Linked DNA regions of Xenopus tropicalis. The protein of the gene in region 2 purifies or fractionates together with the protein of the main gene of each other region. This does not show direct contact. Links are inferred from orthologs where the notes say so. Each region holds a gene or a part of one and is shown on either strand. Other genes may lie near its edges.

Region 1 (3,825 bases), on a different chromosome or scaffold from region 2:
GATTAACATTCTCTATAAACATGTTCTACTCAGACATGTTGAGTCTCCAGCACCAATGAAAAGCACTAAATGCAAGTAGTAAGCATGATTAAGGGACAGCCTAGGAAATGTTATTGTTAATGTTACTTTTTAATAATGATGTTTGATTTCCATCCCTTGCCTATTCATCATCCAGTCTCTCATTCAAACTGCTGTTTGGTTGTTGGGGGAAATTGGACCCTAGCAACCAGATTTTTACTTGTTGAATATATAATTAAATCAAACTAAGTCTACATCAGCGTTTTTCAACCACTGTTCCGCGGCACACTAGTGTGCCGCGAGATGTTGCCTGGTGTGCCGTAGGCAGGGCACCAATGTACTAGGGGGGCACTGCTCTTGGCACCAATGTACTAGGGGGGCACTGCTGCTGGGCACCAATGTACTAGGGTGGCACTGCTGCTGGGCACCAGTGTACTAGGGGGGCACTGCTCTTGGCACCAATGTACTGGGGGGCACTGCTGCTGGGCACCAATGTACTAGCGGGGCACTGCTCTTGGCACCAATGTACTAGGGGGGCACTGCTGCTGGGCACCAATGTACTAGGGGGGCACTGCTCTTGGCACCAATGTACTAGGGGGGCACTGCTGCTGGGCACCAATGTACTAGGGGGGCACTGCTGCTGGGCACAGAGTTAAATTTTTTAACATTTTCTAATGGTGGTGTGCCTTGTGATTTTTTTCATGAAACAAGTGTGCCTTTGCCCAAAAAAGGTTGAAAAACACTGGTCTACATCATACTAAAAACACAGGAGGGAAGGGGGTCATTTATAAAAAAATTGGTGAATTTGCATCTAGGCAGAAAGCCATGGCAAGTTGATTAATTACCTGTAGCTGGCTACAGGTAATTAAACGCTAATCATTGATTGGCTGACATATATTACTGCTCCACTGTTTGAAGTTTGTGGAATGATGGGAGATGTAGTTTAGTAACATGCAACGCAGGGTAGGTATAGGTATATATGTTCAGGTAGTTGTAATTAGTAGAAAATATTATACTGTCATTCGTACTTTTACCAAAGAAACTTTCATTTGTACAGCTGTCTTTACGCCTCTTTCTACTAGACCTTATAACTGGCTAGACAAAATGTTTTATATTTTCACTGAAGTGGAATGTATTTTTATCAAAGCAAAATTTCAGAAAACATCATTACCTTTCAAATGCCTCCCTTTGTTTTTGACCCTTGTCAACAAGAATAGCCACTTTCCATTTTCTAAAAGCCCCTTTAACACCAGTTCTTGTCAGGTGTTCACGCCATCTTTTAGGTGCAGATTGCATCTGGGGTGAATAAGGGGAGTGTCTTTCAATTCTGTAACCCCACTCATATATTGTTTCGTCAAGCCATCTGCCTCTCTGTACGCTGTTAATTACGTAGTCTTTAATCAGAACCCACTTCCCTGAGAAACAAACAAAATGTGAGCCAAAACATAAGAAAAAAAAAACAACAACAAAAAAAAAAACCTTTAGGTAAAAAACGATGAAAATATTACCTATTTATAAATTAAGTTACCTGCTGAACAAGCTGCAAGCCACTTTTCACTTCGGCATGGGTTTTTTGCGATGAGATGTGTACAGTTTTCAAATTTCTACAGTATCAGAAAAAAGATAAATATGTATCTGTCATTGATCTATCTGTCTGAAAAACTATTAGCTTGTCAAAACAGGAAATGTACAGTTTTTTTTAGAAATGCGTTATTGTATTGATTTCCTAAACAAGTATTACTATTAATTAAACATTAACCTATAATAATTATGTCTCCATTGTATTGTGGATGCAGGGATAATAGGTGAAACTGCGGCAACTCTACATTTTGTGTGACTTTAGGAATCTGTTTGATCTATGGTGTCAACCTTTGGGTAGGGTCTTAATGAAAGATAAGTATATTTGCCACTGTAAGTCAATAAATCACTTTTGGGCACTTTTTCAAAATAAATCAAGTGTGCTGCTTCTCTTTCATTAAGACTATGGGGGGCATTTACTAACGTTTGTATTTTTTTTCACGATTATTTGTTGTTTTTTTTTTAACTTTTTGTGTAAAAAACATGTAGAAATCAATTGGAGTTGTCCTAGGCAGATTGAATCAATTTTGTTTCCAATTTGTGCTTTAAGAAGTTTCCTGGTTGTTTATTTTTTTCATCTTTAAGTACACGAAGATTCATGAAAAACTGTAAAATCATGGTTTTTGTACAGAGTGTGGCTGAGGGTGAGACCATCTGCCAGGAGATTAAAGCTCAATCAAAAGAGGACCTTGAAACATGGCAATTACCCTAAACATTCTAGCTGAAGAATTCTGTAAAGGCCAAGCCAAAGCTCAGATCTATAGCACATGGAAATGCTGTGTCATACAAACACTCGAGCATCAGAAAGCCAGATGGGCAAGTCTGTTCTAATCAATGCAACATTGCCTTCATACCAAAAAAACATGCATGATAATACAAATGTATGATTACCTCAGTGTCAATAAATATACAATCAAGTTTAAACAGCAGCTCAACAAGAGATTCTTTTTCTTTGTCCCTGAATCCCGTGAACTGAATAATACGTTTCCTTGAAGTTACTTCCATCTGCAAATTAAATAACGCATTGTAAATTAAACACAGACTTACATTTACAGTTTTTTTTCCCTAACAGAGTTGATAATTTGTTCTTGAAATATATATCAGTTGTATCCACATAGTCAGAGTTGCAAACAAGAACAATGATACAAAGGGTTACAACCAAGGTACCGGACACCCCAAAAACCTGTGGACTCATGGGAAATAAAAAATAAATTTATTGAAATCAAACTAAGAAAACGACAACATATTTTAATATCAAACACGTATAAATGTATTAAATACAGATTACGGAGATGGGGTTCATTAGATTAAAACAGGTCATTCCCTTATTATATAAAAAATTACTGTTGCTGGCCAATAACATAAAACAATAAATAAATAAGATAAACATTCAGTTAATTACCAGTAGTTAAAGAGATTGAATATTGCATAAATGTTTGTCGCAAGCATACAAATTAACCAATTATAAATTCTCAGTCCATAAAGAGGGGCTTTAATATTTACTTGAAGATCATTGAAGTCAAAATGCCCACCCAAAAACTGTTTTATTTGCATAATGAAAGAAAAGGTAATTCTATGCAACTTTACAGAATACAGGTATAGGAACTGTTATTCAGAATGCTCGGGACCTGGGGCTTTCTATATAAGGGATCTTTCTGTAATTTGGATCTCCATACCTCAAGTCTACTAAAAAATCATTTAAATGTCATTTAAACCCAATAGGCTTGTTTAGCCCCCAATAAGGATTACCGTATATACTCGAGTATAAGCCGATCCGAATATAAGCAGAGGTACCTAATTTTACCTAAGAAAACTGGAAAAACTTATTGACTCGAGTATAAGCCTAGGCATCCATTTCTTTTAACACACCTGCACACTAGCTTGTGTCCGAGTAGTAAGGGCAGCGCCGTATTACCTATCCAATACCTATACGAGTTAAATTGACAATTGCATGTGACTGACTTGTTCCTCTTGCTGCCTGGCTATATATGATATAGTGACTTTGGCAAGTAGTAAATGAATCATACCTTGCATTTGGCGTGCCGTATTCCCTTTCAAACTGCCCATCGGTTTGAGGGAGGAAAGTAATTAAAATCTAAATTCCATAACTATTTCTGAATGCTTCTCCCCCAATATCAGCACACTCTAATGCATTAAAAGCATTAAAGGAAGCAAGTTGTCTAAAATACAATAAGCCAATGACATTTACCTGCATCCCCCATGGAGCTG
Region 2 (3,842 bases):
ACAATTTGGCAAGGAGACCATTTTTTCCAAAGTGTAATTGTACAACTGTAAATTTTTACGCATGATTATTATTATTAGAGATAGAACATCAGAAATTGAAGAGGAACTGTAGCTCCTCTCTACATCCTCATTTGACAATGCACCATGACATAATACATAGGCAGAGGATATTTTTACACAGAGGCATTAAGGCAGTGAGATTTTTAAGTTGAGCAAATAAAGATATTATTTTTATTGGAAGACTGGCAGCTATTCTTAATTTTTTTTTTTATTTTCACACCTGCCCAATCCCAAAACTGATTCGCAGGCCTCCATACATAAACAGAAAATCATATGAAGATTTGATCTGTAAATGTATTGCCAGCTTTAATTTCACCCAATTTGCTTTACTGGCTCATGGCCAGCACCATTATGTTAAGCAGCGAGTGCCTTGGAAAACACTAGATCCTTTGAGTCCAAGATCCATTTCTGTTGACTACTCCATGGAAAAGAATTGCCACCTGTATAACACCAGGATGCATTTCTTTACATTGCTGCTGTCAAGTATAAATCCCATTTACAATGTAAGAGAATCCAGCCAATCAACCTATTACTAAAATGTTTATCCCACCAGAGGTGCAGGCCAACAAAACCTGCATTACTGCACAGTTCAAATTTTTGAAACCCCACCCGGACCAGTTACCCAATCTGCTAGCACCATTAAACTGGGATTGCTGTTCCTGCAAACCAGAGGTGTCATAATTAAAGGTGGACAAGGTGGGAAAACAAAACAGTAAATAAGAACTGTTTAAAGAACTTGCCCCCCATGGAATGCTGTGCCCTGGAGCCCACTACCAGTGCAGTTGGCAAGGCAAGGGTACACCAAAGCACAAAATGAGCAACTTTCACAATCAGCAAGTTTCCTGGTTCACTCTTGTCTTTAACACTGCATTGTACAACAAGCATATTGAGCATTCCATGAATGCATAGGGAGAAGCATCTAAGTGCAGCGTTCCCTGCACCAGGAACCAATTTTCGGTGCAGGAGGCCATACTAAGGCACACACGGGCATAGTGTACACACGGGCAGAGTGCCCAGGCCTAGACAATATTCATGTCGACTGATCAAAAATCATAGCCAAGCACATATTTAGTAAGCCAGGAAACTCGCTCAATATGTTGTTTGCTGCACTCCAGCATGGCTTGACAGCACCACAGTGGGGGAACTATCCTTCAAAAAATACTACCGTTTTCCTCATCTAGATGTGGGCTCTGTTAGCATTCATCTCTGGTGGGGGAAACAAAATGTTTGTGACAGGTGCCCTTTAATAGGCCTTGACTGTGGTAGAGCCAAATTCTGTTACATTGTTTAATGTGAGAATCAAAAACTCAGAACAGGACAGACCGACACTGCGTACAATGTTAAAGGAACAGTAACACCAAAAAATGAAAGTGTATAAAAGTAACTAAAATATAATGTGCTGCTGCCCTGCACTGGTAAAAGTTGTGTGTTTACCTCAGAAAGTCTACTATAATTTATATAAATAAGCTGCTATGTAGCCATGGGGGCAGCCATTCAAAGGAGAAAAGGTACAGGCACATAGCAGATAACAGATAAAACTATTGTATCCTACAGAGCTTATCTGTTATCTGCTATGTGCCTGTGCCTTTTCTCCTTTTTTCCAGCTTGAATGGCTGCCCCCGTGGCTACACAGCAGCTTATTATATAAACTATAGTAGTGTTACTGTAGCAAACACCCCAGTTTTACCAGTGCAGGGCAACAGTGCATTATATTTTTATTACTTGAAAGCTCTTTCATTTTTTGGTGTTACTGTTCCTTTAAAGGAAAAAGAAAGTCAAAGTCACTTGGGGGTGCCAAAATGTTAGGCACCCCCAAGTGACTTTGACCACCTACCTGGTGCCCCTGTGAGAAGAGAACAGCACCAGCCCGGGGTAGCTGCCGGCGCTTGCTTCTTCCTGATTCGCTGCGCGCGCATGCGCAGTAGAGTAAAAAGCCGAACTTAACCCTTAACGGCTTTTCACTCTACTGCGCATGCGCCCACCGCTGGCATTCCAGCAACGGAAGCCGGAAGCCGGAAGAAGGAAGCGATGAGCTACAGGTGCCCCGGGCTGGTGCTGTTTTCTCCTAACAGGGGCACCAGCCCGGGGTATGAGGTAAGCAGTTAAAGTCACTTGGGGGTGCCTAACATTTTGGCACCCCCAAGTGATTTTGCCTTTCGTTTCCCTTTAAGCAATATATCGCAAAGTTGCTTCGAATTTTCTTTCTTTCCTTAGGCATGATTGTATTTATCGGTTTATGTCCCCTTTCCTACTGTGATTTGCAGTTGCCTTGCACTAGGAGGCCAAATGGAGCTACAGAAATAATAAATCTGCGCCTCCCAACAATGACTCCCCCCCCCCCAGGAAACATAAACATGTTGTGTAGCAGCTGGGCGGCCATATAAATCACTGTGCCAGAGGGAAGGAAGTGGGGGGCATTGAAGGGGACAAGTGCAAATACATTAGGGATGCCACACTGCTGCCTGACAACTGTTGCTAAAGGGAAACTCCACTCCAGATTGTATACAACTTTCCAATACACCTCCATCCAATTGGCTTTAGAGTTATTTGTGATTGGTTTTAAAAGCAATATCTGTGTGCATTCTCTGCACTCCTAGTTCGTATATACAATACATATAATAACTCAGGGTTACACAGTACAGTATATATACATGCTGCAGCCAGGGCAGCTGTACAGAAGCCGCTGAGTGCAGGCAGGCGGGACTTCCTGTGAGGCACAATGACTGACAAACCCTATCAGTACGCGGCACTGGCCACTAGTACCTTACCTGCACGGGTTGTTTGCCCTTTGCCTTAGATCCCGGTTCTGGTGTGGTTGCCATGGAAGCCGAATTACAGCGACCCAAACCCGAGCTACCCCAAATTTCCCGCGCTGCTCTCAACGTCACGTGATCGTGCGCAAAGCATGTCGGGAAAGGTAGTTCAAGCTAGTTGTAGGAGGAACTACAGCACTAAGGTATATGCCAAAGCGGTGTGTGGATGGGCTTAAAGCAGGCGAATTCGCCCTGTGTCCTGCAATAAAATCTTAACATTTTTAAAGGTCCCCCAAATCCAAAGAAATATACGATGTGATACAGCAGTAGCATGCCTCCCAACATTTGAAAAATGAAAAGAGGGACAAAAAGATTTGGCGCGCGCAGCAAGGCAATTTTTTGATCACGCCCCCTTTTGTGGCCACGCCCCAATTACCACACTCCATTTTAAAAAAATACCCCTTTTATATAGATCAAATGGCGGGCGCAGACGAAAATGTGCTATACCCTCATACTGAACGACCTAAGGAAAACAATATAGCAACTCCTACATTAAAATACAAGTATAGAGAGAAGGCAGTCAGTTATAAGTGAGTTATAACTAAGTACCAGTTTTGCCCCCCCATACACAGTACCCCCATACACAGTAGCCCCCCCATACACAGTAGCCCCCCATACACAGTACCCCCCAATACACAGTAGTCTCCCATACACAGTGCCCCCATACACAGTGCCCCCTATACAAAGTAGCCCCCTATACACAGTAGCCCCCTATACACAGTAACCCCCAATACACAGTGCCCCTATAAACAGTAGCCCCTAATACACAGTACCCCCAATACACAGTGTCCCCTTATCACAGTAGCCCCCCATTCACAGTACCTCCCATAGGCGCAGCCTTCGTCTGCGGCTTCGTTATGCTTCTCCTTGTGCAGCGCGACAGGCCCTTTTATAAGGTTGCGCCCCGTGCGTAATGACGTCACACCCACAGGCGCAACCTTATAAAAGGGCCTGTCGCGCTGCACAAGG

Evidence for each region.
Region 1: the proteins of rad18 (region 2) and slf1 purify together in Homo sapiens (affinity purification with mass spectrometry; 4 studies listed by BioGRID and IntAct, with this or other methods). This does not show direct contact. The link is inferred for Xenopus tropicalis from reciprocal best matches to the Homo sapiens genes RAD18 and SLF1.

Annotation. Positions count from the first base shown.
Region 1 is NC_030677.2:177,668,647-177,672,471, forward strand, and holds part of slf1 (SMC5-SMC6 complex localization factor protein 1), read right to left. Parts: intron 2,602-3,825; coding exon 2,488-2,601; intron 1,623-2,487; coding exon 1,547-1,622; intron 1,434-1,546; coding exon 1,190-1,433; intron 1-1,189. UniProt on the Homo sapiens protein: Plays a role in the DNA damage response (DDR) pathway by regulating postreplication repair of UV-damaged DNA and genomic stability maintenance.
Region 2 is NC_030680.2:131,548,726-131,552,567, forward strand, and holds the start of rad18 (E3 ubiquitin-protein ligase RAD18), read right to left. Parts: upstream 3,006-3,842; 5' UTR 2,883-3,005; coding exon 2,829-2,882; intron 1-2,828. UniProt on the Homo sapiens protein: E3 ubiquitin-protein ligase involved in postreplication repair of UV-damaged DNA. Postreplication repair functions in gap-filling of a daughter strand on replication of damaged DNA.